Linked DNA regions of Caenorhabditis elegans. The protein of the gene in region 4 interacts with the protein of the main gene of each other region in a pairwise test. Each region holds a gene or a part of one and is shown on either strand. Other genes may lie near its edges.

Region 1 (8,986 bases), on a different chromosome or scaffold from region 4:
GGAAACAGCACGTTGACGGGCGGTAAATCTGGCACGGTTCTTTGTTGGATATGTGGTATCTCCCTTTGGAGCTCCTCCAGCTGGAGCACCTTCTCCTTCAGTTGCGGAATCAGCTGGCCCTTCGCCAGAAGCATCGCTAACTGGGGCGCCCGCTCCTTCAGCAGAGACATCGGAAATCGGCGATGGAGCTGGAATATCGGCAGAGAGCTTAGCTGGATCGGATTCCTGAAAGTACTTTTATTTTATTGAAATCCAAGAATTGCAGTAAAACTCACAACTGGGGATCCTTCAAATTCAGTTCCTGGGGCTGCAGCGTATCCGCCACCTCCTCCTCCAGCGATGTCTCCTTTTCTTGATGGGCATGGGCAATAGGCAGCATCTTCTCCAGAAGCTCCGGCGGATCCTGGAAGACCTGGGAATCCATCTGGTCCCTTCTCTCCTTGTGGTCCTTGTGGTCCAGTCTCTCCCTGTGCTCCAGCTGAACCATCCTCTCCACGCTCTCCTGGAAGACCCTCGTCTCCTGCAAGACCATCCATTCCAGTCGGTCCTTTTGGTCCTGGTGCTCCTTTAGCAAATCCTTTTCCGTCAGCTCCACTGGTTCCTTTCTCTCCTGCTGGTCCCATTGGTCCTGGATGCCCATGGTCTCCTTCTGGTCCATCATCTCCTGGTGCACCATCGCGGCCTGCGTTTCCTGGAGCTCCTTTATCTCCCTTCTCACCACGTGGTCCACGTTTTCCTTTGTATCCAGCAACACCTGGTGGTCCTGCTGGGCAAGCAGTGCAAAGATCTCCAGCTTGGCTTGCAGTCTGCTCATTGCTTCCATCAGCTCCATCTTTTCCTGGAGTTCCATCGGTTCCGTCGGTTCCTGGCTCTCCGGCTGATCCTGATTCACCCTTTGGTCCTGCTGGGCAAGAGTCGTCAATTTTCACAGGGCTGGCTTCGGGTGCTGTAGCGGCAGGAGATCCCTCACCAGCAGCTCCTCCTTCCTTGTCTAAATTTTCATTTGTCAAATATTTTCAGATAACGTTAACATCTGCACTTACATGTTTGTCTTGCAACTCTGCGGTGGCTTTCATTCGTAACAAGCTCCTTCCAGAGCACATTCGAAGTCTCTTCAAAACCAGTTTTTGCAGTTTCCAGTTGAGCAGTCATGTCTCCCATAGTATAGAAAAGGACAGGAGTAGCAGTTACCATAATCAAGAAAGCACTTCCAGAAAGAATGACTGCAAATGAGACAGTCGACGAAGACGACTCCATAGTTTTGTAACTCATTGCTCGAAACAAACAATGGAGAAAAACTTGGTTGATGAATGTTGTACCCCACTACCGTCTTATATACAACATGTGTTATCTAAAACTCTGATCGGTATGTTCCGGAAGTTGTCCTACTCCTTCCCAATCTTCACTTCAAACCACTTTCATTTGTATTATCTGATCCTTGCTACCGCTTCAACAAGTTTTTGCATTTGCATATTCTGGATACCAGGCTATTCATTCCATTTTGTTTCAAACGTATCAAAATTTTATTATTCACTCCATAAATTGAATTATGACACTTCATATTAATCGAACACCTATACAATCGGCTCAAAAGAGAAGAATATATAAAAATAGACGAAATCAGGCAACGGGAAAAAAAGGTAAAACAAACAAAGACTACTACAACGACTATACAAACTCCTCAATAGGTTATACATTAGGTTATAATAATAAAAAACAACGGATTACAAATGGAAATAAGGAGCAAGATATCGCTGGTGTAGATCAATGCCAACAATGATAAACGGCATGCTTACAATTTTGGAAAAAAAAATGATTGAAAGAGCAAGTCTGTCTGTCAATGGGTAGGAAATCTTCAAAAAATACTAATCCCCGAGGTAAGAAAAGAACCAAAAAAACAAGAAGAAAAAAGTACCCCGTTTTGAAAAAGGTGAATAAGAGAAGTTGAAAGAAATGTCATCGAAGGCGTCAAAAATGGGTAAGTGCGCAAGCTGAATTACTCTATCTAAGCAACAATAATAATAATCAATTTCAAATCAACTGTGGTTCCATCATCTGCTGGCCAAAGTTTGCGCCAAACAGCATTTGAAACTCGTCATTCGTTGGTACCAAAATTTCCGGATCTGCTGGCTGAGGCTGAAAAAAAAGTGAGCTTTAGTTATTTGTTCAAATATTAACTTTTGTAAACGTACAACAATTTCTCCAGTTTCAATCAAACTGCTAACTCGCGTGTGGTAGCTCATGTGCTGATTGTAGCTGGCCTCGTCAGCAAATGGTCTATAGCATTTCTGAAAAAATATATATTGTATCGTAAATCCAACAATAATAACAAATTTTCAATCATCCCACAGACAGAAAACCACTCAAATTACAACGTTATAGAACTCACTTCGCAGAAAAATTCAAGACCCTCCCGATGATTTTCGTGTTCGAGTGTGTGATGGCTGACACAATCCATTCTGGTCATGAATTGAGACTTGCACACTGGACAATCATGGCTGAAATTAGGTAGGTTTAATGAAAATTTTAATTTAAACTGTGTAATGTGTTCTCTTCTATTATAATAGTTCTATTAGTTCTATTAGTAATGCACTGCTCGATTTTGGGAGCTTACAACTCAGTTGGTTCAAAAAAATTCAATAAGTATACAAACCCAGGCATATATTAGGAAATGAATCGCACCATGGGTGTGCGGCAAATTCGGCAAATTTGCCATGGTTGTCATACTCAGTAAATCGCAATATTTTTCGAGCTCAAAGAGGGCCAAAATTGATTTAAAAAATAAACTACGTTTACTGGTTTTTGTTCGAATTTTGCCTAATGCGCGTGTGGATTTCTTCAATAAAAAATAAAAGAAACACGATGTTATGTTTACTTTCATTAGGTTTCTGTTCAAAACCATTAGTTTTGTACAAAATTTTTATAAAAATTGTTTCATGTGTGCGGCAAATTTCAGTATTTGCCGGGCTCGGCAGATTCGGCAAGTCTACATTTTTGAAATTTACGGAATTCGATGAATTCGGCAAATTCGGCAAATTTGCCGCACACCGAGCGCTTTTCAGATATTATACTTATACTCACTTTCAGTCCTACATTCACTTTTTGATGCTTTCTATGCTTTCAACAATCTTCCAGCCATTTTAAAACAAATTATAAAGTACGCTCTCTTTTAAGATAATAATTCAATCAAAATTTGACGAAATTTCGTAGCGAAACTGTTGCAAAAAATTTGAATTGATGTCAAATCTTTCTCAAACGCACGGAGAGCAGGTATGTATATAATATGTACCGTAATTCTGAGAATTCATGTGCTCAAACGGCATTTTCCACTCCGATTTCTTTTCAGTTCAAGGATAAATAAACTCACGTCTCGAATGCAATGGACTTTGCAATCTCGAAAAGGTTGCCCCAACGCTCAAGAGACATGTTGTTGAAGATAGTGTCTTCGAGACGTCTGATCTTGTCCTCAAGCTCAACTTGTGGCAGAAGATCTCCTCTTCTCAACTTGTCCACCCAGTGCTCTGGTTCTCCGAGTCCAAGCTTCCTGAAAAAAAACATTCGGTAATCTCACATTTTAATTGTGCATGCTGGATGTCTGCTTACTTCTTCTTCGGACGAGGCGGCGGCGTGTAGTACGGTCCTCCGGCTCCACGAAGTACGATGGCGTCGTCAGGGATGTCAGCAGGCGGCCGACGGTTGCTGAACCGAGATTTTGCCAATACTGGCGTTCCGTTTTTGTTAAGATCAAACCTGGCAAACGGCCTCCAGGCAGCTTCCAGCTCTTCCTTCGTCGTGACGTGTGTGCGAAGATGCTTCTTGAGGTTGCCTTTCAGTCTGAAAAAATTTAAAAAATTTGTTTGTTATTTCTCGTATCGCCTAAATAATTTTTGTTGATTATATTTTTGTGTTTTCTACCCGCAACATTTAGATTACTGTCACGAGTGCCGTTTTGAAATGAGTACGGCATGCATCTTATCTACGCCTTTTTCACCATTCTAACACTATTTCTCTTCGTTTTATCGATTGTTCTACAGTGTCGCCTATGGCATTACGGTGTCTCTCGTCCGTCTCTTTTTCTCTACCGTTTCTCGGCCCGTACACTGTACACACCGTACTGCGCATTAGCAGAGGAGAGTCGACTGTGAGAGAATGAGAATTAAGGGGAAACGGTCGTTTTCGCAACCCGCCACATTTTTATTACTGTACATTTGAAAGAGCACAGCGAATGTTGTTTAAAAAAACCACTAACCGACAAGTTTTTCCACAATATGGACAGGCGTGAGGAGTGAAGCCGGTATGGACTGAACGATGCTCAAACAAGTTCGACTTAAACCTAAATGATTTTGAACAAATATCACATCGGAAAGGCTTCTGATCTGTGTGTATCACTGCATGCTGCTGGAGACCTGAAAACAAAATCAGAGTTAGACAAAGCTACCGTATTTTTCAAAAAATTACCTTTATAGGAAACAAATATTTTGTTGCAAACATTACACTGGTGCACAGCTCGAGGGGTCATCATTCCTTCCACCATCTCATCTTCTTCAGGAAACCCCATTTGATACTGAAATTGATTATGATGCCCCTGAAATGGTTTCAGAATTTTTTTGAGTACCTGAGAATAATCCTGCTCATCCATCATCATTTCGGAGTCATCCATGTGTTGATTGTGGTGATAAACTGACTGATTCGACCCGTGAGTCATACTGGAACTGTTGAATTCAGAGAGGGACTGATCCGCAGAATTCCGTTGACTCTGAAAGTAGAGAACGTCTAAAAAAGTAGGGAATTTATAAAAGATTCGATAAATTGAAATTTGAAAGGAGTTTATAAAAGGAAAGGTTAAAGTACAGAAGCGAAATAAAAATGAAAACATGGGTTTCAAGAGATTTCAAAAAATTTTAGAAATTTTTTTTGAAATGATATCTAGTTACCTGCTTAGCATTTCTTCTGGTTAGCATGACAAAATTTGCCTCAGACAGCTTAAAAACAGCTCGAGACTGCTAGATATTGCGAAAGAAGCGTCGAATTCAAACTATTCACCTTGCCGCCAAGTGCAGAAAGGGTTATGGTATGAGAACGATACGGTAAGAAATGCGACCACTCGGAGGGGACGCGACGCGGCCGCAGCGCAACGAGAAAACGAGACGCAGGCGCGCAACAAACAACAAGGATAGTGAGCGAGAGGACAGAGGTCACCACCGTCGCTTGCTGTTCGTGGTTTTTACATCGTTTCTGATAACTCAGCAAGTGTAGAATTTAGAAAATAATGAGTTTTTTGTGTATTGCGAGTGTTTAGAAAATTAGATATAAAAAATTAAACTGTATTTTTATATTATTTCGTAATAATCGTCATTTTTTACAATTTTTTTTTCAAAATTATAAAGTGCAAATTAAAACATTTTCATTGCAATTTTTCGGAATTTTTAAAATTGTCTTTTTTTTCTAAATAAAATACAATTTTATGAAAAAAATTATTTTAGTTTTAGTCATGGTTTGGTCGAAAACACAAAACAGGTGCAAAAATAAGCAGATGCGTTTTCATAATCTCAGGTGGCCGAGAATTGAGAAATTGGTTGCTAATTTTTGGGCTATGGCAAGTCTTAAAAATAATTTGCATCAGAAATGTTTTATTGAAAGTAAAATTAAGATTTAATTATAAATAGAAGTTAGTGCTTGGAATAGTAAAAGTCAATCAAATTATACATGATCAATAATATTTTTCCTAACATAAAAGACATGTATAATATTGTCACAGCTGCTTTTGGAACTGAACAAAACCCAGCAAAAGACTTCAACGATTTTGGCAAATTGAAAAAAGTTAAATGAAAAAATAAAACCTTGAAATTTGAAATTGGAAATTTGAATGAAAATCGATCAGGACTCAGAAAATCGCATCTATTCGCTATGAACACTATTCGATATTCGTGCAACGCCGTAAGCCCCAGACGAAGAGCAGATGTGCATCTTGCCTGCTGCTCGCACGCATCCACGCTGGCTCACCGTGTAACTCCAAGTATATTGGGAGTTGTTGTTGTTGTTGTTGTTGTGGAGGCAGACGTGGTTGTTGTGGTGTCCATTTGGAATCGGAGCAGCAAACGGCGTGTGTTGTTCATGGAAATTGGACTGGTGCTGCGGATGGTGTAAATTCATCATTCTGAATTATAAAATTAAATGTTTTCGGGTTAATGAAATTGAAAAATAAATAAAATAAGTGTATATTAATTTCGAAAAAAAAGTGTGAAAACGGTTAATAGTAGTTTAATACAAAATTAAAAAGTTAGAGATCTCTTGAATTTTAAAGCTTTAGATTAAATTTAATAAGATTTATATATTTATTGATAATTTATTGACTACAAAGCAAGTTTGTTAACAAACACAACAAAACAAATAAAGATTGACATTTTGTGAAACCTATCAGCATTTATACTATTTATAAAAATACCAATAAGTAGTGTTATATAAATTAATTTACCAAAAATAACAAATTTTTTCCAAATGTTTTTTTAAACCTGAGGAGAAATTTGTGTCTTGTTCAGTTTATGTTCATAAGTTTCACAATTCTAATTGAAAAATCTTGAGAAGGGGAGTTTTGGTGAACTAAAATAAAACAAAACGTTTTTTTTTCAAAAATAATATATTAAGCCAGAAACTCGAAAAATTAGTCTTTACAATTAGTATCAAAATTTTAAGGATACCTAAAGTTTATAGTAAGATTCCTTCAAAGTGAAGTGTTCTAACAAGAGTGTGAAAACTTGTTCGACGTCTCAGAAAAGAAGTACAATCGCCAAGTTGTTCTGGGAAATTAGATTAAGAGAAACGAGCACAAGTTGAGAAACTCCCTCTACTCAGATACTCGGCGAAGAAAAAAAAACGTGAAAGATACTTTTACCATGAAGGGTGCCATCTTGACGAACATCTGCTGAACAGCCAGCTAGTTTCCGTTCTGAGCCCTCTAACATTTGTAGGGCAATACTTTTATTTGAAAAAAAGCAGCTCACACTTGCTTCATTCGACAGATTTTTGAAGTTTTGAGAACTTAACCGCTTCGTTATATTGGATCGAGACAAATGGGGAAAACGAAAAGGATTAAGACATCCTGGCTCTAGCTTCCTAAAAGTGCATGTTATTTTCAGTTACCTGGTGCGTGTGGAACGATGAGACTAAATCTCTCAACCTAGGGAAGTCGGTTCGATAAACATAGTTAGGGATGAGTAACGGTTTGGACGCCTTTTAACGTATAAATTGAATATGTGCTTAAATGATCGAATTTTGTAATTAAATTTTTTTTTAATCTACAAAATTTTATATGACGGTTCAAAATTTCGAAAAAAATTATCCAACTTTTTTTTTACTTTTCCGTGCCGCAGTGATTCAAAGTAGATTTGTTTTAATTATTGTCATTTTTTTTGCAAATTTTGGTAATTTACCTTATGTTGTTTTGTTGATTAAGGTATTTTTGGAAATTTTGAACCGCCATAAAAAACTTTTGAAACAATTTTGAGTCGTTTCATTAAAAAATTCGTTTATTTAAGCACATTTTGGGTCTATATGTTCAAAATCGTCCAAACCGGTACTTCTCCATTAAATTTTTATAGCCTTTAATATCAATTTTTTAAAGCAATGTTCAGAAAAAAACTGTTACTAATCTATGCACACTTTTTTACAATTTTCATATTAAAATATTTCAAATATATTATTCAGATTTCCAAGGCTTACATAATTTTTTTTATTCATTTTAGTTTGCTTTGAAAGCCAGAATACATTTCATTGTTTGAAATATTATTTCCAAGGTATAAATTTCCTCAGAAAAATTATAGTTTCTAAATTTTCACAGTTCTGCAGTTTTTCATAATACATATTTATTTTTTTAGCAAAGAATTATAAATACAAGTACTTAAATTACGCAAAAAAATTATTTTGGAAAATATAAGCAATAAAGAAGAAAACAAGTCTTTTACAAGTTACATTATGAAAACTATACATGTCGTAATATAAAGTCATGCGATTTTTCAGAAATTACCAGTAAATTATTCAACAACCAGATTGCTAGAAACTAAGAAAAAAGAACCCCCTGAAGAAGTCGGATTCAACTTTTTAGGCGGCTCTAGAAACTCATCCATAAAATGAGTGTCACTAATGGATATGGGAGTAATGTTTGATGATTTCTTTGGAGGTGGCTCTTTCTTTTCCACTTTATGTACTTTGTCATCTGGCGGTGTCTCTGGTTTCAAATCAGAAGTTGAGTGTGCATCCTCTTCACTGAAACTTTTAGTCTTGATTTTGAGTTTAAATTATTACAGTAAGATACTTAGAAATCAGGCTTTGAGTGTCCGAAGGAGTATGTATTGCTGGTGTTTCAAGTCTATTATTCTCTCTTTCATCTGCAAAAAATACATTGGGTTCTTTTTCTTTTATGACCTTTCACCCACCAATTTTCTCCAGATTTCGGTTTCGCTTCCTTAATTGGTTTTCAAATTCTCCAGGCCAAACGACTTTCGGTTTTTTTGTTGGCTCGGCGTCTACCACATCTAAAATTGAAATATATAAGTTGTAGGGCAAGAGGGTTTGTACTTTGTGACTGGAAAAATTGAACTACATTTTTTTTAAAATCAGCATTCAGTTTCATTAGGTTTATCTTACATAGATAAAGAGCAATTTTAAGCTTCAAATGATTTTTTTCGTGTTTTCTGGCTAAAACCATTGGTTCTCTTTGATTTTTCCATAATATTTGATTAGAAACATTTTTTGTCAATTTTTAAACATTTTTCCGTGAAAGTAAATTGCGGAAAGTTCAAAATTTATCTAAAATCGGCAAGTTAGTCTGAAAACATGTCAAAAATGACGTCGCTGACTTTTACGGGACTACAAATTCACTGTTTCTTTGATTTTCGTAAAATTGAAAAAAAAATCATAAAAAAGATTGACAATCTTTTAAAAGTGATATCTGACATACTAAGATTGTCATTTAGAGCAGAAAAAATTG
Region 2 (7,582 bases), on a different chromosome or scaffold from region 4:
AATACTTACCAAATATTTTCCTACATTTTAATAGTTAAAAATTTTTTGATAAGACTAAAGCCAATTGAGACATAAGCCGTAAAAAAAGCGTGTAAAAAATAAATTGGAAGCCTAGGCCGTTACCAAAAGCCTGGAAAAATAAACCAAAAATCGTAGAAATGCACTTTTTTCAACTAGCTCTCTTCAACACACTGATACGGTGCCAGTCGGCGCCCCAAATTGGGAAAGTGCATTTCAGAACGCGGAGCTGATAACTGATAACTGTTCACACACACACAAAGCGGAGTCTCAACTTTTTGTCTAAAAAATAAATAAAGTACGAGACGCAGACGATTATTTTTTTGCATTACGTTTTTTTTGTTGAATTTCATTTCAATTTTCATGCTCACCTTTTCAAGCTCCAACAGATGGAATCGAAGCATCTGAATCGATTGGAGCATAATTTGATCTAGTTGTGGATTCGGTACATAGTACTGCTTGTCAGCATTCTCTTGGGTCTGTAAAACTTTCTTTTTTTTCATTTTATTATTTCCCCGAAACTTACATGTCTTACAAATTCGTTGAGATCATCTTTGAAAGACGCGCTGGAGCACACGTCCGATGACGTGGATCCGTCGCGTGACGTGTCTCGGGGCGTTGACGTGGCGAGCTCGCATTTTTCGAATAGGAGAACTAGAAGTGGATAGAGTGGATGGCTGAAAATTTGAAAATTGTTAAAAATCAATTTTTTTTAGCGATTTGAAAGTATTTTGAAAATGTAATAATTTTAACGAAATTTAGAAGCAGAAAATTTTGAAATTTTTTAATTTTTTTTACGTCAAAATTTTTTAGCTTCAGCTTCTCAGGCACGTCTCCAAACATGAGGACCTATGTTTTGCCTGCCTACCGCCTACTTTTGAATTTTTTTCACAAATTTTTGATGACTTGTTGAATGTTTAATTTTGAAAAAAAAACAGGCACAAGGCAGGCCTTGTAGGCAGACTTTATAAAATTAAAATTCAAAAAAAACTCACGCATAAATAGACTCCTTATCCCGTTTCATGGCTTCACCCATCTCATGGTGCATCATCGGAGTTGACGTCGGCGCGCCACCCATATTCGTGTACAAATTGTAAAACGCCGCCGGATCGGCAATATAACTGGCTGGGTCGGCGCTCGCCGAGCCCGGTGGTGGACCATATCCATCGTTGAACTGCTGAAAAAATATGGATAAGATTAGATAATTTTATTAAAAGGCGCCTAAATATGTGAGGGATTTATGGGTAAAATCTTATCTCTTCTTCTGACATGGCTAGCAAAAATTTTGCAAAAAAAAAATCAATAATTTTAGTTTTCCTCCAAAATCTTTTTTTTTTCGAAATTTCGGTACAAAGGGGCGCCGTTCCAGATTTCGGCAAGATGATAGGCGGATTTTTTGACGAAATAAATCTTCTCGGCCCCCCGATTCGGGTAAAAGAAGATGTGAACGGGGATAACGGTGGAAGGATAAAGTGAGAAATTGAAACCACGCTTTCCTATTTTTTTTTCTTTTTTCTTTTTTCTGTGTCTTGTCTCTCAAATTGATTAATTGATAAATTGTATTGATAACTAAAGAGGCCAATTTTTTGACACTTTTTGGAACCATTGGTGGTGGTGGTCATAGGCATTTTTTCTAAGCAGTAGCCCAAGCTCATCAAAATCATTTTAATGGGTTTTATTAGTCAGCGGGGAAGACGGGGAAAAGGGGTGGAATTTGGGACATTTTCTTATCTTTTTTCAAATGATTCCCGAGAAAAAGTGATACTGTCGGTAAGATCGTAAAACTATTTGTGATTCTTGTGTTGGCTTCGGAAACTAAAACTAAAACTAATCGATGCAAGGAAAAATTTAAGAATGAGGGGCTTAATATAAGTACTTATATTTTGAAATATTCACTGGTGTTATTTTAACGATTTGCAAAAGTCGATAGTATTCCACCTCACTACCTCACTTTGAAAAGTTATATCACGGTTCAATTAGAAGATATAAATAAATAGTCAACTACAAAATTATAGAAAAAGAAATAATACGGATTTTGCCAGTTGACAATTTTTATATAGGATGAACGAAAACTGAGATATAAGCTGTCAAAGTTGGACGATGGGGTGCAACTGTTAGTCTTGCAGACCGTAGCTTCAATTTGGCAGCTCATTGTAATTTTCAGTTAAAACAAAAAGTTCTAAGCTGACAAAATATTTGTTTTTTCTAGAACTATAGTTTTAAAGTATTATATTCACTGATTTTCTAGAGATGAGCAGAGATACGACTTTTCGAGGTATTTGGGGTCAAGTTTTTCTATATTCTGAAGCTTGGGAAACTATATTGTAACTAACCAGCGCTTAAAACAAGGCGAACACCTAAAAATTGCAATTTTGAGATCTAGAAAGCGGGAAAAAAGCGACAGCGACGGCGCGGTGGGGGGCGCAATGGCTGATTGGAAACCCAAGAATGAGCTCGAGCCACCACCCAACACAACGATAAATTATAGAGGAGAAAAGGAAAAAGGGATGGCGCTCTTTCTGGTATCATGTCAAAGTCAGAAGAAGCAGAGGGGAAACGGAATGAAGGAGAAGAAGAAGAAGAAGTACCCTCTGCGCCATCGTCGTTGCCGACACACGGGGCCTTGCTGAATAAGATGAACGATGGTCGTGTCGGGATCGAAAACTCTTTCCACAACGGGGTGTCAGTCAGTCAGTCTGTCACACACACGATGATGGTCAGAGCTTGTCGCCCGCCCCTTCTTCTTCTTCTCTCGTTGATCGATTGATTAGTGTGCCGATTTGATGGGCCGGCGGTGGCGGCGTGTGTTCTTCTCTGCCCTGCGTGTGATGTCGATGATGATGGAACGAACGTAAATAATATGACAGACAGATGAATATCGAAAATGACAACTTCTCACACACTTCAAAACGGTTGTATGTCAATCTTGTCCGATCGTTGGGGGGAGGGTTGGTGGGGTGAATGTGGGCGGGGCTCCCTCTCTCTGACTCTCCCTGGTGGGGGAAAAATACGAGAAACCACCGAAAGAGAGAGAAACGGGCAACCGGGGGGCAGATCGACTCGCTTGCCTTCTCCTCTCTCTCTCAGTCTATTTTCCCCTGTTAGCCCCCCTCGAGAGAAGGAGTGAGTGAGAGAGAGAGCGATGCGCCGGGGCCCCGCCCTATTGCGCCAATAGGCACTCAATTCGGTACAGTAGACCCCGGGTGTGAGAGGAGGGTGAGAAGGCAAATTTGGAGAGGAGTAGAAGAAGTCAAACACGAAGAAAACGACGACGACGACGACGACGAAAAAATACATGCATTGCATTTTCCTCTTTTTTTTGTTTTAGCGAGACGAGGCAAAAAGTCAAGTGTGGGGGACCTCAGGTTTTCCAGCTAACACAAATTTACATTTTCTACCAAGTAGTACCCGATTCTTGGCAGCCAAATTCCATGTCGCCTATCAATTTTCCAATTTTCCACCCTCGATAAGAAACACATGATTAATGTGATTAAAAGAGATAAATCGGTCGGTGGGGGGGGGGGGGGGGGGGGGGGGAGCGATGATGAGACGAAGAAGAATGAGGAGAGAAAAGATAAAAGCGGCGGACAATTTGTGTGAAAATTATCAGGATTTTGTTATTGCTTTTATGCTGTTGATATTGATAATCGGATCATCGGCTGTTAAATTGCATATTATATCGTGGATGTGTGGAACTAGCTCTATGAACTTTAACTGGTAGGTTGTAAACCCAAAAAATATGTTCTTAGATTTTTATGGTAGTTGTTGAAGGTGGAGTAGCGCCAATGGGGAAATTGTTAAAAACCACTCCTATGGTCCCAAAATGACCGAATATCGTAATAAAACATCATCAAACAAACACATCAAACAAAAACATCAAAACAATCAAAAATTTTCTTAAATTTTTTTATTTGCGGTCAAAAAGTGACAATTACTCAGTTTTTGTTACTCATAATTTTGGAAGTCGACCAAAAAAAGTTTTTTCCTACATTTTTTACACTTTAAGCTTATTTTAATTATTCGTGTTGAAACATTGTAGGGGGCGAAACATGCGACATTGCTTTGGATTTCCTCGAAAGCTCATATTTTTCAAAAATTTGGCAATTTGGCAAAAGTTTGAACGGAAATTATGAAAAAGCTAAAATTTTGTGGGGTGTTTTATTATAATATTCGGTCGTTTTGGATCATTATAAGTGTATTTAGACAAAATTCCCACTGGCGCTATTCCACCTTTAATATACTTTTTTCATAATAAATTCTGAATTTTTAGTGGATTTCCGAATTTGAAATTTGTTTTCCTATGTCAAATGAAAAAAAATCTGTTGAATTTAGCTCCTGTGGCGAGACCAACTCAGAAAAAAAAACAATGTGTGCCTTTAATGTGATGTTTCAAATTTTTGCGAAATATTACAATATTTTTTCCCGGTTTCTTGAAATTTATATTTCAATGAAAAACCAATTTCGAAACTCTAAAATTTTTACAATTTTGATTTTATAGATTTTATCAATTTTCTGAAAGCATTTTATCGTAACAGAACTGAAAAATTACAGTTCATTTTGAACATTTTTTTCATTTTTTTTTCCGAAATTCCAAAAGTTTTGAAGTTTCAGACAATACAAAACCCTTCAAAGCTCGATTTATAAAATTATTTTTAATTCTAAAAATTGATTTTTGAATTTCTTAAACTACAATGTGAAGATCCTAAAGAATTTTTTAATCGGCAAAAATTTTTTCAATTTTCAGAAATCAATTTAATTAGGAAATTTAGTCGCAAATTAAAACAACAACCAATTCTTAAATTTTACCTCATTGTGATCCCGCTTCTCTCGTTTGATGCTCGACGTGTCCAAATCGTACGTCGAAATTCCATTTTGAACAGCCCAAGTGTCAGCGGACGCGTGAGCCCACACTTTTGAGTCGCCGCTCATGTTCCTGCAAGAGAGAAATATTAAATTTTGAAAAAGAAAACGTGAAACTCATTATCATTTATCAAAAGAGTCTGTGCGTGAGCAACAGCAGATGGGTCCTCGTGGCCCGAAAGCACAAAAAGCACACCAAAAAAAAAGGGATGGATTCGAAAAAAAAAATAATAAATAGGCTCCGCAAGAGATGAACCAGGAGGGCAAATTCAAGTTTACATGCTGCTGTCCTGTGTCCAATGTCCTCCGCATTGAAGATAAATTGCTTTTGTTCGTTTTTGCCCCCACTAGGTGCACAAAGCTGTTCTCATTATATTTTTGAAATTCGAACAAAAAAAATGTAAGTGCTAAGGAAAAATAAAGTGGAAAGAATGAAGATTGGAACTAGTTTCTTTTTATTTGATAAGGTTTATGTAATGTACGGTATGAGACTGAAAAAAAAGTTTCATTATACCGCCAGTTTCACCGGAAGTTTTTTGTCATGTGAATGAGCATGAGCTGAGGAAATGTGACTAGTTTGGAAATTAAAAAAAAATCTAAAAGTGAGTTCGGTTTCTGAAAGAAATTTGCTCCACCGAAAATGTGAGAAACTATTTTGACGGCCTATATCTCTGTTGCTTTTGATTGGATCAAAAAATGTTTAACTGGTAAAATATAGAAAAACATTTTGCGCATATTTTGTCAGTTAAAATTTTTCTGATAAAATCAAAGAGAGCTGAGATAGAAGCTGTTAAAGTGGAGCAAGACGGGTGCAAGCCTACTAAGGAAATTGCGGACAATGTCCTAATTTTTCAAATTCATTATCAGGAATCAAAAAAGCTCTACCAAACCTAGTCAGCTATTTCCAAGTTTCCACAAAAAATTAATTAATTAAACAAGATCCTTCTGAAACTACACTTTCCAGATTGTCAACTAAATGTGCACCTATGAATGTAATAAAATATCGCAACCTTTCGCCTCTTCCAGAGAGCACAGTCATTTTTTGACACATTTTCCTTATCAATAATCAGAGAGTAGAGACATAGAGATGCTAACATTAAAATACAAAAGTTTCAACATTTTTTCCCTTCAATGCACCACATCCCCCGTTTCCCTCATCTACTTATACTCCAGCTGCACTTTATTAACGTCGCCTTTTGTTCTAAGGGGATTAAGATTAGGATCATATGGAAGAGGAGGGGTAGGAGGTGTCAAGTGGGATAAAGTTTCAGACTGTTTTTCTTTGTTTGGTAACATGGTAGACACGGGAAGAAGATTAACCTATAGATTTCAGATTTCCTGGAAGGTAGCGTGTGGTGCTTTTGTTGCTTGAATTGACAGAATTGAGTTGTTTCAAAAATTCTAGAGTAATAGGCTCAGCTCAAAAGATTAATCAAAGGCCTAAATTAAAGGCCAAAATTATGAGGCTAACAAATTTTTAAACCAATTTTTTACAAGCTTTCCATTTTCAATATAGCTACTGTTTCTATGCAAAAGAGCTACTGCTCTATCCGCCTTGCCTCTTTTTGCTCCACTTTGACGGCTTATAACTCGATCCCATTAGGGCTTGTAAAAAAAATTTTCAACTGACAAAATTTGTGCAAATATTTTTCTACATTTTTACAGTAAAACATTTTTTAATAAGACTAAGGACAACTTAGATATAAGTCTCTAAAATAGAGTGAATAAAAAAAAGCTAATTTAGAGGCTAACAAAATTTGATTCATTTGTACATAGTTTTGCCATTTTGTTTCCCAATCTGATCTACTTTTTCTTCTCCATAGTCATACTCAAAAACCTAGGCAGATCTTTGCTCAACGAGGCTGACGTATAAACTGATAAGCTTACGGTGTGCTCTTTGCTACGTGCGCCGAACATTATTCGAAAAAAAAAGTTATCAGTGGTTTTTTCTTCCACGCATCGTATCGCAATCGATGCTCTTGCTCCCCTGCTCTTCGCTTCTATTTCGATTCTCTCGCCTGGCTCCCCAAATACCGTACCAGGGGATGTGTATGCCTACTACAGTAACCCGTGTGTCCACCACCATCACAACCACCGACCAGCCGGCCCGGTGTTGGTGGGGGGGGGGGGGGGGACACGAAACAAAATTTGAAAAACGGGCGGCCCGCGCGCACGCTCTTTTTCCCTCTCCTTTTAAATCGATACGTTTCGTCGTCGGTGGTGGTGGTGGTGGTGGTAGTGAGGGACGGAGGCAAAAAAAGGAAGGAGAATTGCGTGGACTTGCACCGGACAAGTCATACAAATGATTGATGGGGTCTATAGAAACCCGTCGAAAAAATTGGAGGAGGAGTGGGCACCGGGGCAAAAATGCTAACGAAACACAACAAAAAAAAAGATTTCGATTGAATCGTTGTTGGTGTGCCCCCCAGCCAGGTGCACCGCCCCCTATTTTACCTCATTATGTCAAGTTGTAAACGAGACGCCGCTTAATTGGTTTATGAGATGTATCTGTCAATTTTAAGAGGAGGCCGGCCCATTTTATGTGTGTATGATTTTTAGGTCAAGCCGGCTGGAGCAAAAAGTGACTAGACTGGCCTCTAAGCCTTAGGGGGGATCGGGGAACCGACAGAGAGCAGTGATTCGGAATGAAGCCGACCAATACAAAAACTATTTAAGAAACAATTATGTTAAGCTTAAAGATTTT
Region 3 (6,606 bases), on a different chromosome or scaffold from region 4:
TTCAATAACCTGGATGAACCATCAACTTCCAAGAATGTAATGCCATGCGCCAAAGCATGCAAACTTAAGAGATCATCAAAAAGAAAGCGTAATTCGAAAAATTAAATTTCTATATTTGTAACATTTTCTTCCTGAATTTGAATATGATTCTCAAAAAAGCCCCTTGTTGATTGCCAATTTTAATTTAATTTTTTTCTTCGAATAAACTATTTTAAATTTAAAAAAAAGTGAGTTTGCACATTTTTTGGAACCAGCTTTTGCTGAAAAAAAATGTGTCCCACGATTTTGAACGTCGCTCACTGTATCAATTTTCGAAATTCTTTTCTCTCTACATGAAACAATACTACGTCCATTTCAAGCTCTCAAAATCTAACAGCACAGTTTCAAATTCAAAAACACGAAATGATTGAGAAATAGAGATGCTCTTTTCAGATGGATTACTTTAATTCAATCTCTGCAGCTTTACTTAAACAACGCAGGTAGGAGGCAGATACTGTCGATCAGAGCGGAGCATTGAGCTTCACGTAGCCTGGCTGTCAAATTGTTTCAGTTGTCCATCCATGCACCATGTCTCCTCCGCCGTCGACACAGTAGGGTTTCCAGTCACTTCCAGCTACTTGTTCCAATCCACATCCTGACGTTAATTTCCAATCGATTCAGTTGTACTTCCTGAAATAAACACCAATATGACATTATTTGTAAATGTATTGAGGCAAGCCATCTACAAGCTTATGAGTTTAACAACAAACTTACAAAATAGCTCCCACTTTGGAGTTGTCTTCTTTTTCCTCTGTCTCCTCTATTTATCCTTTGAACGTTTCGTCTTGAGTAGTTTGTCCGGGGGGTTTTTGTGACATATGCCAGTATGAGTATCTGAAAAAAAAGGTTCATACTCTCAATACTCAAAAAGCTGTAAACTTTATGTTTTATAACATTTTAAAACATCAGATTTACACCTCTGACCCGCACTCACTTTAATATTCCGTTTGGTTGAAGTGAACTGGTTTCCAATTCACACACGACTGTAGGTAAATCGGCTCCATCGTCCGAGGTCCACTCGGAGGTTCCTTGCATACTCATATCTTCGTTCACAGCATCGGAATTGTTGAATTGGCATCATCTTCCCATCCTTCTTGGCAGACCATTTGTTGAAAAGTTGAAGACTGAACACTATGACTAAAACTACTTGCTCATATACCAGTCCTTATCAAGATGTACGTGGTCGTTCAAATAAAAATATTTTTTTAAATTGTTTTCCGTATACCGTATATCCTCTATTAGTAAGACGTGCAAAACTAATTTTCGGACACCTAATTTGATGCAAAACTAATAGAGGGTGCAAAACTAATTTTCAAACAGGTTTTTTCTCATGTTTCCCATTAAGTTATAGCAAATATCATCAATTTCAGTAACACCTTATGAACCAAAATGGACTAATTAATTCCACTAAATTCTTGTATTGAATATAAAACTTGTGAATCTCATTGCCTTTTGAAAATTTGATTTGAAACTTGTTAATTTTTTAATCTAAATATTCCTGATTCTGTCATAAATGGTCGTGTTATTTCGTTCTCTAGACCCCTGTGACATCAATTATTTGAAAATCTAGTTTTGACTATAGTTTTTAATTGCAAAACGACTTTCGAAGCGAAATTTAACAAATTTCATTTTACCCCCAAGGTATACGGTAGACAAGTACGCAAACACCAACAACAATATTGCACACATTACACAGAAGTTGCCGACAGTTTGCTAAATCAATGGGATTTTTTTACAGCAGTTTTTCCTTTCTTCACGATAAATCGTTCTGAAAAAGTAATTAAAATTGTTATTTTAGTGTAAAATTTAAAAATTAAATTATTGTTTTCAAAATGCGCGATTTTAAATATTGCAATCTTCATTACGTAGGATTTTTCCGCACTTGAATTCTCCAAATGTTCTCGAAATTTATTGAAAAGCTTTAGAAGCCATGAAGTTTCTGGAAAGCTCCGAAATGGATGTTTTTTCGCAGACACTCGTTACGGGAGCAATCGATTGTGTTATTGATTTCAAGTGAGTCATTTATCTCAATATTAAGAATAAAACAAATCGTTCAATTTCAGATTAGAAACGTATTCGTCGAAAATGGTTACTAGCGAAAAGAAACAATGGAAATCGAACGATAAATCTGTGATATGGGGTGAACGCCAGCCTCTAGGATCTTACGAGGAAATGGTGATGAGTGCATCGCCCAGTGTTGGTCACAATCATCGGCTTCGCCATTTATCGGAACGCTCGTGCTCAGGAGGATCAGACAACGATTTCGACGTGAATGACTACCTGATAAAAGACTCAATTTCGCGAAAGAAATTGTATGATCTGACTCAAGTTCTGAACTGTTCGTTTCCGGATCACGATTTCAGTAATGCCAACAGTGAAGCGTTTGCTCTCGTCAATTATTCGGTTAGTAGCTTCTTACAGCTAAATAACATTAACGCGCATGATTTTTCAGGACCTGAGCCGTCTCGTTGATATGAAGCTTGAGACAATTGTCAGAGACTATCACGTGAGAAGAGAAGAGCTATGGGGAATTATTGATGAGGCAATTGTGCCCGGTGACTGTCAAATATACAGGTATTCCGTTTGATTTGAGAGGATATTTTATATAATTTCCATATTTTTCAGCTTCAAGTCCCAATTCGAAGACGATCCGTTTACCGAAGACGGTTGCATTTGGGCACTTGCCTTCATTTTCTACAACAAAGGACTCAAACGTTTTGTTCTTCTCACAATTCGTTGCCTATCGAAACAAGCCGACACGTCCATCGAAATTTTCCCCGATTTCAGTGAAGACGAGGCGGAACCACAAGAGAAATAGAGTGCAGATTATTCATGTAGAACGCTTAGAATAGACTAATATTCAAGGCGATATAGTATTAGTCTTGCCGGCCAAGCCTCTTTCCCTCTTGTAGTTCTTCTCTTGTAAATAGATTCCATTTCTCATCAATCCTCAACCTCCTCCTTCACCTCTCGAGTTCGCATTTAATTTGCCACTTCCCACACACCTACCGCTAGATTAAAGGAACAAATACTTCGATTCTCATTCCTTTTCGTGGCTCGTAGATATCAATTTTCACAAAAACCGCATCATAAATACATAAAATTGTTTTTTTTAAGTTAATCAAAATCGATTATTTTTTGGTTTCAACCGTTCTGATATTTTAATCAATTTTTCCTCAAATTTATTTGGTTAAGTTCAGTTTAATTTATTTTCAGTGAAATAATGCCGAGCACATCAATGATCGAAGATCGTTCTGAGATCGAACGTCGGCGATTCGAATATCTCGATCATCCGGCAGATATTCAACTTCACTCTTGGGGATCCACAATGGAAGAAGCCTTCGAAGCATGCCTCGTATCAATGTTCGGCTATATGACGGATTTGGCCAAGGTTGATGAGGTAATTTGAAATTGAATTAGATCGCCTCTTGCGCCTTTTAAGAATTTTTCCACTTTCCTCTGTTTTGTCTAATTTTTCTTACTTCACTTGAAATATGCTTATGAACATATGAAATTGCAATTTAAATCGATATCTTGTAGAAATTTTAGCTTTTGTTCGTGTATTCTCTAGTTTTGAAGCTGCTCCCAGAAAAAAGCTCAATTTTTGCCTTCTTGACTTCATTTTCGAACAAAACCCACAATTTCTACAAGAAACTGATTAAAATAAAATTTTAATTTTGCATTATTTCAGATGTACGAATTCTACTGGAAAGCTTCTGGCGATAGCTTAGATGGTCTCCTATTTCAGTTTCTAGACGAAGCGCTCAACTCATTCCACGCTGAACCATGCTTTGTCGCGAAACGGGTTGAAATATTGCGATTTGATAAGAAAAAGTTTGAGGTATTTGATAAAAAGTTTCTGAAAATTAATCTAAATTCTATTCAGATCGAATTCCGAGGATGGGGAGAATCATTTGATACTTCAAAGCATGAAACAGAGGCTGATATCAAGTCTCCAACTTATTCAAACATGCAAATCAACGAGAAGCCGGAGAGATGCGATATCTATGTCATTGTTGACATTTGATTTTTATTTTACAACTTCTTTTTCACCTTTTCTCGCTTAATTCCTTTGTGATTTGCTTCCGATTATCGTGTCTTTTCCCTTCTGGTTGCTCATAAAATTTGTTAATTTTGCAGGTAAAAAATGGGCATTGACGTCAAGAAGAAGGTGCTCAAGCGAAAGCTGAAACAGATGAAGGATGGACATGAGAAGAAAAAGGCTAAGGAGGTTGTAGTTGAAGAACCAATGGAGGAAGAAGATGAGGAGGAAGTGGAAGAGGAGCAAAAGCATCAAACGGAGGAGTCAAGTGAAACCAAAGTGTCTGAGTTCTTGACGAAGACTACATTTGCATCGCTTGAAGGAAAAGTTAACGCGAATTTGCTGAAAGCCGTACAAGGATTGGGATTCACTACAATGACAGAAATTCAGGCAAAGAGTATTGATCCGTTGTTGGAGGTAGACTTTATAACTTTTTTCTTTTTTTAATAAGTTTCAATTTCTCAGGGAAAAGACGTATTGGCATCAGCAAAAACTGGTTCTGGAAAGACGCTTGCCTTCCTGCTCCCTGCTATCGAACTTCTTCACAAACTCAACTGGAAACAACACAATGGAACTGGTGTCATCATTGTGTCTCCAACTCGTGAATTGTCGATGCAAACTTATGGAGTTTTGTCCGAACTTCTTGAAGGATCCAATTTGACGTATGGATTAGTGATGGGTGGTTCGAATAGAAGTGCAGAGAAGGATAAGCTTGCGAAGGGAGTTTCGATTTTGGTGGCCACTCCTGGACGACTTTTGGATCATCTTCAGAATACTGACAACTTTTTAGTCCGCAACATGAAGTGTTTGATTATTGATGAAGCTGATAGAATTTTGGATATCGGATTCGAGATAGAAATGCAACAAGTTCTCCGTCATCTTCCAAAACAACGGCAGTCAATGCTCTTCTCGGCAACTCACTCTCCAAAAGTTGATGAGCTCGTGAAATTGGCTCTTCACTCGAATCCAGTTCGCGTTTCTGTACACGAAAAGGCCGAAGAGGCAACAGTTGAAGGATTACAGCAGGGTTATATTGTTGCTCCATCTGATAAGCGTCTACTTCTTTTGTTCACATTCTTGAAGAAGAACAAGACGAAAAAAGTGATGGTATTCTTCTCATCGTGCAATTCAGTCAAATTCCATCATGAGCTTCTCAACTACATTGACATTCCGTGCATGTCTATTCATGTAAGGATTTTAAACGATTATTTTATGAACACTTTTATCAAAGATCGCAAAATGAATCTTTTGAGACGGCTTCACATATCCTTAAAATTGTTAATGGCGGTTCGAAATTTCAAAAATAAAGCCTATTTTAGCTAAAATCTGAAATTCCGACAACTTGACAAAGTCACAACTCGCGGAAATGTTTTTTATTTAATTGTCACAGTTTAGTGCATAATTTGGTAATTTATTGCACGTTGTTTCGTTCATTGGAGTAATTTTTAGTCGATGGGGGCAAACAAAGACCGGAAATGAACGAAAAACGAGTAATATACTATCAAAGTTGGCAATAAAGGGTGATAATTGAATAAAAACAGGTGCTGTGGAGAAATTGAGATTTTTGCTTAAAATGATTTTTTTAAACAGAAATTTTGAACCGCTATAAAAAGTTTAATGGAGATTTGAAGACGTCTAATAGAGAAATATCTTAAATTTCCCTCAACTAGTAATATAATTAATTTTTGCAGGGAAAACAAAAGCAACAGAAAAGAACAACGACATTCTTCCAATTCTGTCAAGCTGAAACAGGCATCCTTTTGTGTACAGACGTGGCAGCTCGTGGACTCGACATTCCAGCAGTTGATTGGATTGTACAATATGATCCAACTGATGAGCCAAGAGAATATATTCATCGTGTCGGACGTACAGCACGTGGAACAAATGGAAGTGGAAAGGCTCTTCTCGTTTTGAGACCTGAAGAACTTGGATTCTTGCGTTATTTGAAGGCCGCTAAAGTCACGTTGAACGAATTCGAATTCTCATGGAGCAAGGTATGCACTTTCAATAGGCGACGTGTTCTTTGAATCAAAAGTTTTTTTTTAATAAAAAACCGGTAAATGATCCTTTGATAAGAAGGTCACACACCCAAGTGCAAGTGAAATAAGATCCAAAGATTAAAACTTTAGGTATACAGGAAGTGAATGAAATCATTAAAAAGCAGAATTCAAAGATGAATGATCAATAAAAAATTTATTTCCGGAAGTGAATTTGCAAAATTTGAAAATAACACTTGAACTTCTCAATTTTCAGGTTGCAAACATTCAATCCCAACTCGAGAATCTCATCAGCAAAAACTACTACCTGAACAAATCAGCGAAGGAGGCATACAAGTGCTACTTGAGAGCGTATGATTCTCATTCATTGAAGGTAATTCACAAAGTGCAAATGATGACATATGAGACTAATTGTCATGGAGTTTCAAGATGTCCGGCTACGAAATACTTGAAAGTATACACACTTCCTACGTAAAATCCCTTTTTTTGCAGGACATCTTCGATGTGACCAACATGGACTTGACTGCA
Region 4 (7,030 bases):
GCTGAACACCAACCTCCTCTTCTATCACTATTTCTTCGCTTTTTCCTTCAGTTTTTGAATTTACATTTTTGAAATGACAACTCGTATTGACCCCGATTGTTGCGTAGAACAGACCTTCTTCCAAAAGCTCTGAAATTCAAAATTAAACGATTTTAAAATGTCTGTATATTCTTACTTGGAAACATTGAAACAATAGCCAGCATAGTTTCTCCTAATCGTAATCCAGTTGGTGCAATGAATAAAACTTTCCGCTCTAATAGGAATAATTTAAAAAGCAGTAGAGCTCGGTGACGGAATCGTATAAAAAGCTCTTGAATTGATATTTCTGAAACTGATATCGCTAATTAAAATGTGAACATTTGAAACTATTTTCATGTTTTATTTTAGTAAATTGATTCAATAACGTACCATGATGAGCTAGATTTGAAAAGTATTCTCCAGTAAGATTTTCGTCGAATATATCGCAAAGATTCGTATACATTTGAGCAAGAACATCAACTTTCGAAAAATCTTTTTGTTCAAAATATGCCTGAGTTATTACTTCCAATTTTGCTTTTAATGGACCAAAAAGTGGTATTCTTGAAAGAACGCATACAGCTTTTTGAACACTGGTCCTAGTCACATCTTCCGATTTATTTATTAATTCCTGCAAAGTCAAACAGTTTTTATCTGAAGAGTCATATAAAATCTCACTTTTGCATCGATTTGTCTGTAACACGAGATGCCAAATATCGATTTTCCAGGTTCTTCTCTAGATGGAAGCAAAAAGAATATTGTATCTTTTTGACAATTATGTACACCATCCGGCAACGCCAGTGATGGAAGAAGATGCCATTCATCGGGTAATCCCGATTCGCCCGTGCCATCGAGTTTCGGGTGCGAGTATTCTACCTACAAGATTTATTTTATTGATTTTTTACAAATTGAGTTGATGAACTTGAATTTAAATCTTCACTCCATATAATACAAAACTTAATAATTAAATGTATATGAAAAATACTGCAAAAATAGTAAAAAGTACCAAAAACGTTCTGCTTTTTGTGAAATGTTCGATTGACTGTAACATTTATTTCAAATTAACTGCAAAATATACGCGATTTTGTAGTTTATATTGCCATTTTATTACTTTCCTGCACATTTATGACCTTAATCGTTACGTTTTCGAGTTTATTCTTTTATGTATCATATTTTCCTGATTTTTCTGATAGTTTGCCATTTTTGTTACCTCACATCCTCGCTTGTGATGGAAACTAACGACGACCACATTCAGAATTGGATGCATCTTTCTCTGAACTGTAAGCTCTAATGTTTTCCCGAATTTTACCATCTTCAGATAAATTCTTATGGTTGCTATACCGGAAAACGGAATATACTCGTAAAAAAAGATTAATGTAGCAAAATTTATGGATTTTAATTGTTTTCAAAATGAAAAATTGAGATTTGCACGCTGATAATGTTTTCCGATAGGGATGGAAACGATTTTAGCGTTAACCAGTCATTAAAGTAGGTTTCCAACTCGCACCTCATGTACACCACAAAAATGAATAATTCAGGAAAAAATGGGCGATCAACGAGAAATTTACAGAAGAATTAAAGATATTAAAGGCATTTCGTAGTGGAACAAGTGAGGAGATTTTCAGGTTTCAATGAAAGGAAAGAACAAGGGACTTTTCAAAAGTCAACAGGAAAGGTACAGAATTGGATACTCACGAGATCCAGATTATCATAAATGAGCACGTTATTACGGCTCGTTATTGAGATTTGTTTCAGGTTTGATTCGCTGTGAGAATGAGAAAAGGCGGTTGAAAGAGACGAAGTAATGAGAGGATTGGGCACGAGTGCCGTGGAAAATATGAGAAAATGAAGGGAATTACAGTAGTATACTCGTGAAGGTAAATGAACATTTGAAATGGATTGAGCAGATCGAAGAGATGTTGTGGAGCAACATATTATGTGTTCACAAGCCATGGATTCTTGGCAATCGTCTCTGCTGAACGATCTCCATAATCGTAGAGAAGCTCTTCTCCTTGTGCGATTTGACGCCTGGCGACGAGAATCAGGTGATGCGACCCATCGATTTCCACCACCTGGAATGTTTAGTTTTGGAATTGTTATTTACATTTTTTTAATTTATCAAAGACTTTCTTAATAAATTTCAAATTTTGAAATGCTCACTTTCGTTTTGAGATTCGGCCTTAACACGGAATGATTGATGAGTCGTCCTTTCCATGGAGATTCTTTTGTCGCATCGATACACCATTTTTTATTGTTGTGCTCAAAAAAGTACATGTAGGATCCGATTTCCTCATCATTCGAATATTGTTCTTCTATCACTTTTGCTTCCGAGTACTCCATCATAACACCTAGAATACTTTTTAAAAACAATATTACAACAATTATCTGTGTTATCTACATACCTCTGTATTCGACAACAAAGTCTCCTTTTTCAAAGTTAACTTTCGTTCGAATTCCTCGCCCCTTCACAACATCTTTGTACACTTCAAGAAGTCGTTCATTAGTCCCCTTGAGTACGGTATCGCGAAGAGCATGTTTAGCTTCATCGCTAATTTGCTTGCTCGTCTTCCGATTACTTCGCCGCACTTGGAAGAATTCTGTGATTTTATGGTTTGAGACATCTTTCACCGACACTCCTTTTCTGAAAGAAAAACTATTTGGAAATTGAAGTTTTCAGCTTGGACAATTTCTGTGAATATGTTGTGAATTCAATTAGAAATATTGAAGTTTTTAAACGTTCTATTACAATCCCTCTTGTCACTAATCAATCATACCTGCTCCTTGTGTTTTTCGACGGTGTCATTCTTCCTGAAGATGAAGAGTGTGAAGCCAAAGACGATGGATTTTCGGAGTTCTCAATATCACTAGATGGTGACGCTGCTGCGGCACGATCCTTTCGCATTCTACTCGTTGCCAGCTTCTTCGCGGCAACTTTCATCCTTCGAGTGACACCGCTGAAAAAATAATAAATTTTGTAGGGTGAGGAGAATAGTAAAAATAGAGAAATTTATAAAGAAGCAAAAGAGGTGTCATAGAAATAATAGAAATATTCGCCCACAATTTATTTTTTTTGTTTTGAAATGGTTGGGTAAAAATATTATAATGTGTTGTTTCAAAAACCCAGATATTCAATATGATTTCATCGGTCCTGAATACTGTAATTGAAAATGGAAAAGCCATCTTGGATGTACCTGAAAAAGTAGTTGGGAAGAGGGTAACAGAGGAAATTGAAGCGGGCAGAGAGATGCGTAAAGCAGATTGAATGGGTTTTCGGAGGAATATTTTTTTTAGAAAGTGAAGGTTTCTATTGTGAAAAGGGTGGGCTTTCACCGATTCCGTTGAATTTCCAAATATCAAAAGACCGAGTAGAACATCATCATTAAGATATTTATCCACATTTCGTGAATAACCTCATTAGAAATCAAATTCAGTGGTTTTTGACGAGAGCTGAGCACAAAGAACAATGTCGTGCACACGCGACTAAATTCAAATGGTGTGCAGTCATATGGTTTTGGCGGGAAGTGCCGTGGAGCGTTATTGCACTCACGGTAGATGTCGGTGGTTGGTGTAAAAAATGGTGGATTGAAATTATGGAATTGAACTTTAAAATGTATATTTCCGTAATAATAGATACACTTATTGGGCTCGTAAAATTAAACAGAAAAGATACTCAAAGATTAAAATTTAGATAAATTTTGACGCCATGCGCATGACTAATGTTTCTATTTATATTTTAAATATTATACCAACTGGAATTTTAAATTTAGATGTCCTATTGATCTATTAATTTTGACTGAATTGAAAAAAAACAACTATGAGAAACAGAGCAACAAATCGATGGCAACATCGTGCACAAGAGTGTCATCGCATAAAAAATGCAGTTTGTCATTCTTCAATGCGACTACATGAGAGCCCGACGAAGAAGATATGCTGAAAAAAAGAACATCGAATCGGTGTCGAGAATCTGAATGACATAAGAAGATGCAGCCGCTGGTTTATTGATGCTGGCAGCTAATCGATTATGAATGGGTAATTAGAAAACGATCGGTATATTCTATTCCATTCCCTTCCTATTTATGCTGCGGTCGATAAAACGCTAAATCGATAAAAAGTTTAGTCGTTGTAAGATTGAGCAGCAAACAAAGAATGGTGCCGTCCACCCGTTCGTTTTCGACTGTTTTGTCAATTCAGCGGTCTACGTCACAACGCCACATAATTGTAGGCCAGAAAGGATGTCAGGGGAAATCGATACGAATTATCAGGAATAAGGAAGAAATATTGACCTTGAAAACCCAGAATTGTATTTTAATGGAATAAATAGTAAAAAAGAGGAAGAAATAGTGAAATCAGGGAGTGAAAAGAAAGGAGGCTGGTTATACGATCAAACAACAAACAGGAATGCACTATGGGGTGAGGGTGAGGAGAGTCGCAGAGAGAGAAACGGCTTGCGTCGAACACGCCAGTGGTCCAGCTTGCGCCTTTTCCGTTCCTTGCCCATAGTTTCTATTTCGATTTTTGCACGCTTTTTGCTTTAATGTTTTGAATGTGTATTTCTCTCTTATTGCTTTTAAGAAGCATTTAAAAGCAAAAATAATCAAATTTTAACTTTTTTCATCGTAGTGCGGAAAATTATGTTCAAAATTTGTCAATTTATTTAAAGATAATTCCTTACTCGGTCTTATTAACGCTTCAATCAAAACAATTAGAAACAGTTTTCAAAAATAAGATGAAAAAAGTCCAAAAAATTAAATAAATAAGAACCGACAAATCGATCGATTTTTTAAAATCACTGTGTTCCGTTTGAGACCCTTCGAAAATTCCATGTACCTTTAATTCAAGCAGTTCACGAAACTTTTTTTGGGTACTTAATTTACATTTTCTTTTATTAAAAGCCATTAGAATCTCGAAAGTTAATCTAATTAATCGCTTGAAAATGTCCTGAGAAAAACTCCGTTCTCTGCGTTCAAGTCTTTAATTGATTTACCGTAGTTACGCCAACTTTATGACAGTTTTGTATCATAACTAACCATTTTCCTATGATTCTAATAAAATATATTATTTTAGATGCCGCCGAAACGGAAATCAAATGGAAAAACGCCAGCGAACGGTAAAAAGGGCGCAAAGAAGGCTAGGAAAGAGTCAAGTTCAGAGCACGAACATAGTGCTTCAGAAGGTGAAGAAACTACTGGATTCGATAAGTCGTCACTTCAACGATGTGTGAATTTTGATTTCGAAGCTCTGATGAATGATCCGTCTTTCCAACATCCCGAATTTGTACATACAATGGACCCAGAAGCTTTAAATTTGGAGTTCTACGACAAAAATGGACTTGACAACCCGATACATTTCCGATGTGATCCAAAAAGAATAGGAATGACGTGAGTATTGATTTTTCCAATTAATTGTAAAAATAAATATTTTTACAGACTTCCCTCACCAGATTTCTCAGTGGATGATGTCCTCGAACTGGTAGGCGGAAATCGAATGATAGAAGTTGTTCAAGTCCAGAATCAAGGAAGTGTGAAAATGTCGTTACAGGAATTTATAAACTTCTACAAGTGAGTAATTACAAATTAGTATTAAACACCAATCAAACTTCATTTTCCAGAACGCCACAAGAAAAACGAGAAGTACTGTACAATGTTCTATCTCTAGAATTTTCCCAAACTCCCTTAGAAGATCTCGTAAAATCTCCAGAACTTGTTCGTCAAATCGACTGGGTTGGAAACCAGTGGCCAGATGCTCTGCGCCAGAGGTGGATCTCATTCAACGGAAGAGACAAAAAATTCTACAATCCGCATCATACTTTTCCAAAAGTTCAAAACTACTGCCTGATGAGCGTAGCGAACTGTTATACAGATTTTCACATTGATTTTAGTGGAACATCTGTGTGGTATCATGTACTGAAAGGTCGTAAAGTCTTTTGGTTGATTCCACCAACCGAAACCAACTTTTTTATTTATCAAGAATTTATTAAAACTGTCAACGATAATGCGTTCTTTGGAAAGTCGGTCGAAAAGTGCCACGTGGCTATCTTGGAGCCAGGAGACACGATGCTAATTCCAAGTGGATGGATTCATGCCGTATATACTCCAGATGATAGTCTCGTTTTTGGAGGCAATTTTCTTCACTCACAATCATGCAAAACACAATTAAGAGTTTATCAAGTTGAAAATAAGTTGAATGTGAGTTTTTACAGAAGACTTGTAAATAACAAATTTGAAACATTTCAGATCACTAGAAAATTTCGCTTACCGTACAATGAAGAACTTATTTTCTACGTTATAGCTGATTATGTAAAACAATGGACAGGAAGAGAATATGTGAGACCACTTCGAATCGAAGATGCAAAATATGACTATGTTGGAGACAAATGGAAAACCGCTGGTGGCCATCATAAGAAAATCGAATACTCAGATTACGAAACTGGAGTTGAATTGACAAACGATATGATTAAAGGAGACGAGGAATCCACAAAAGATGGTAGAGTATTTTTTATTTTTTAATGTCAAAAAAGAATGAATGACTAATTTAAAATGGTTTCTTTGATCTTTTTAATATTTTTCTCTCTTTTATATGATTTTAAAATCGAAATTTTCAGAAGTTAAAGTGATTGCAATGCACGCGGAGAATTCACTATTTGGTTATCCTATGGTCAGCAAAGCAACGTTTTCAGCTGACACGGGTCTTGAAGAAGAAGCTGACGAAGATGAAGTCAAGTATCAAGAAACTAAAGGTAAGGAGATTTAAACACGACAGTAATAAAATTGATGAATTTCAGAAGAAATGGATGCTCGACGCGATGCTGAAATCGATGAACTAGCTAATTCAAATTCATTAATTTTCTACAAGAACCGTGTAAGAATTTATCGAATTCAATGAAGTTTCCTCTCGAAATTTACATGTTTTTCAGACGCACGATTTTGTTCGAAATAAATGCGTGCCGGACCACAAACTTCCAATTGGACACGAGCCGCCAATCTACTTTAACGATGATGAGATTTCTAGGATATCC

What was found.
Region 1: the proteins of set-1 (region 4) and lsy-2 interact in a two-hybrid assay, tested with the Caenorhabditis elegans proteins (one large-scale study listed by BioGRID).
Region 2: the proteins of set-1 (region 4) and unc-62 interact in a two-hybrid assay, tested with the Caenorhabditis elegans proteins (one large-scale study listed by BioGRID).
Region 3: the proteins of set-1 (region 4) and mafr-1 interact in a two-hybrid assay, tested with the Caenorhabditis elegans proteins (one large-scale study listed by BioGRID).

The regions. Positions count from the first base shown.
Region 1 is NC_003284.9:2,085,775-2,094,760, reverse strand, and holds lsy-2 (Zinc finger protein lsy-2), read right to left. Parts: upstream 5,058-8,986; 5' UTR 4,962-5,057; coding exon 4,935-4,961; intron 4,757-4,934; coding exon 4,616-4,756; intron 4,565-4,615; coding exon 4,459-4,564; intron 4,407-4,458; coding exon 4,250-4,406; intron 3,835-4,249; coding exon 3,751-3,834; intron 3,700-3,750; coding exon 3,604-3,699; intron 3,545-3,603; coding exon 3,368-3,544; intron 2,499-3,367; coding exon 2,390-2,498; intron 2,289-2,389; coding exon 2,193-2,288; intron 2,137-2,192; coding exon 2,032-2,136; 3' UTR 1,508-2,031; downstream 1-1,507. Other genes in the region: col-164 (Nematode cuticle collagen N-terminal domain-containing protein), read right to left, coding at 1-225, 276-991, 1,044-1,272; F49H12.2 (uncharacterized protein), read right to left, coding at 8,031-8,262, 8,312-8,384, 8,433-8,531. UniProt on the Caenorhabditis elegans protein: Involved in transcriptional regulation. Required to specify left-right asymmetry of the ASE gustatory neurons, probably acting upstream of microRNA lsy-6.
Region 2 is NC_003283.11:4,494,832-4,502,413, reverse strand, and holds the start of unc-62 (Homeobox protein unc-62), read right to left. Parts: upstream 4,952-7,582; 5' UTR 4,948-4,951; coding exon 4,825-4,947; intron 3,085-4,824; exon of another isoform or gene 2,619-3,084; coding exon of another isoform or gene 2,607-2,618; intron 1,196-2,606; coding exon 1,014-1,195; intron 696-1,013; coding exon 545-695; intron 498-544; coding exon 390-497; intron 1-389. UniProt on the Caenorhabditis elegans protein: Acts redundantly with ceh-20 and ceh-40 to perform overlapping roles during embryogenesis.
Region 3 is NC_003279.8:10,621,209-10,627,814, forward strand, and holds mafr-1 (Repressor of RNA polymerase III transcription MAF1), read left to right. Parts: upstream 1-1,964; 5' UTR 1,965-1,969; coding exon 1,970-2,052; intron 2,053-2,102; coding exon 2,103-2,442; intron 2,443-2,491; coding exon 2,492-2,613; intron 2,614-2,664; coding exon 2,665-2,857; 3' UTR 2,858-3,153; downstream 3,154-6,606. Other genes in the region: Laminin subunit alpha lam-3, read left to right, coding at 1-105; arch-1 (Protein archease-like), read left to right, coding at 3,263-3,439, 3,731-3,880, 3,926-4,066; B0511.6 (ATP-dependent RNA helicase), read left to right, coding at 4,187-4,498, 4,547-5,269, 5,773-6,075, 6,335-6,451, 6,571-6,606.
Region 4 is NC_003281.10:6,449,404-6,456,433, forward strand, and holds set-1 (Histone-lysine N-methyltransferase set-1), read right to left. Parts: upstream 2,970-7,030; 5' UTR 2,954-2,969; coding exon 2,790-2,953; intron 2,657-2,789; coding exon 2,418-2,656; intron 2,372-2,417; exon of another isoform or gene 2,364-2,371; coding exon 2,176-2,363; intron 2,165-2,175; exon of another isoform or gene 2,088-2,164; coding exon 1,950-2,087; 3' UTR 1,389-1,949; downstream 1-1,388. Other genes in the region: T26A5.6 (UDENN domain-containing protein), read right to left, coding at 1-129, 176-331, 409-646, 694-891, 1,226-1,282; jhdm-1 (JmjC domain-containing histone demethylation protein 1), read left to right, coding at 5,080-5,393, 5,442-5,573, 5,624-6,200, 6,249-6,498, 6,617-6,751, 6,797-6,873, 6,929-7,030. UniProt on the Caenorhabditis elegans protein: Histone methyltransferase that specifically monomethylates 'Lys-20' of histone H4 (H4K20me1). H4K20me1 is enriched on hermaphrodite X chromosomes and during mitosis. Involved in dosage compensation by repression of X-linked gene expression in hermaphrodites.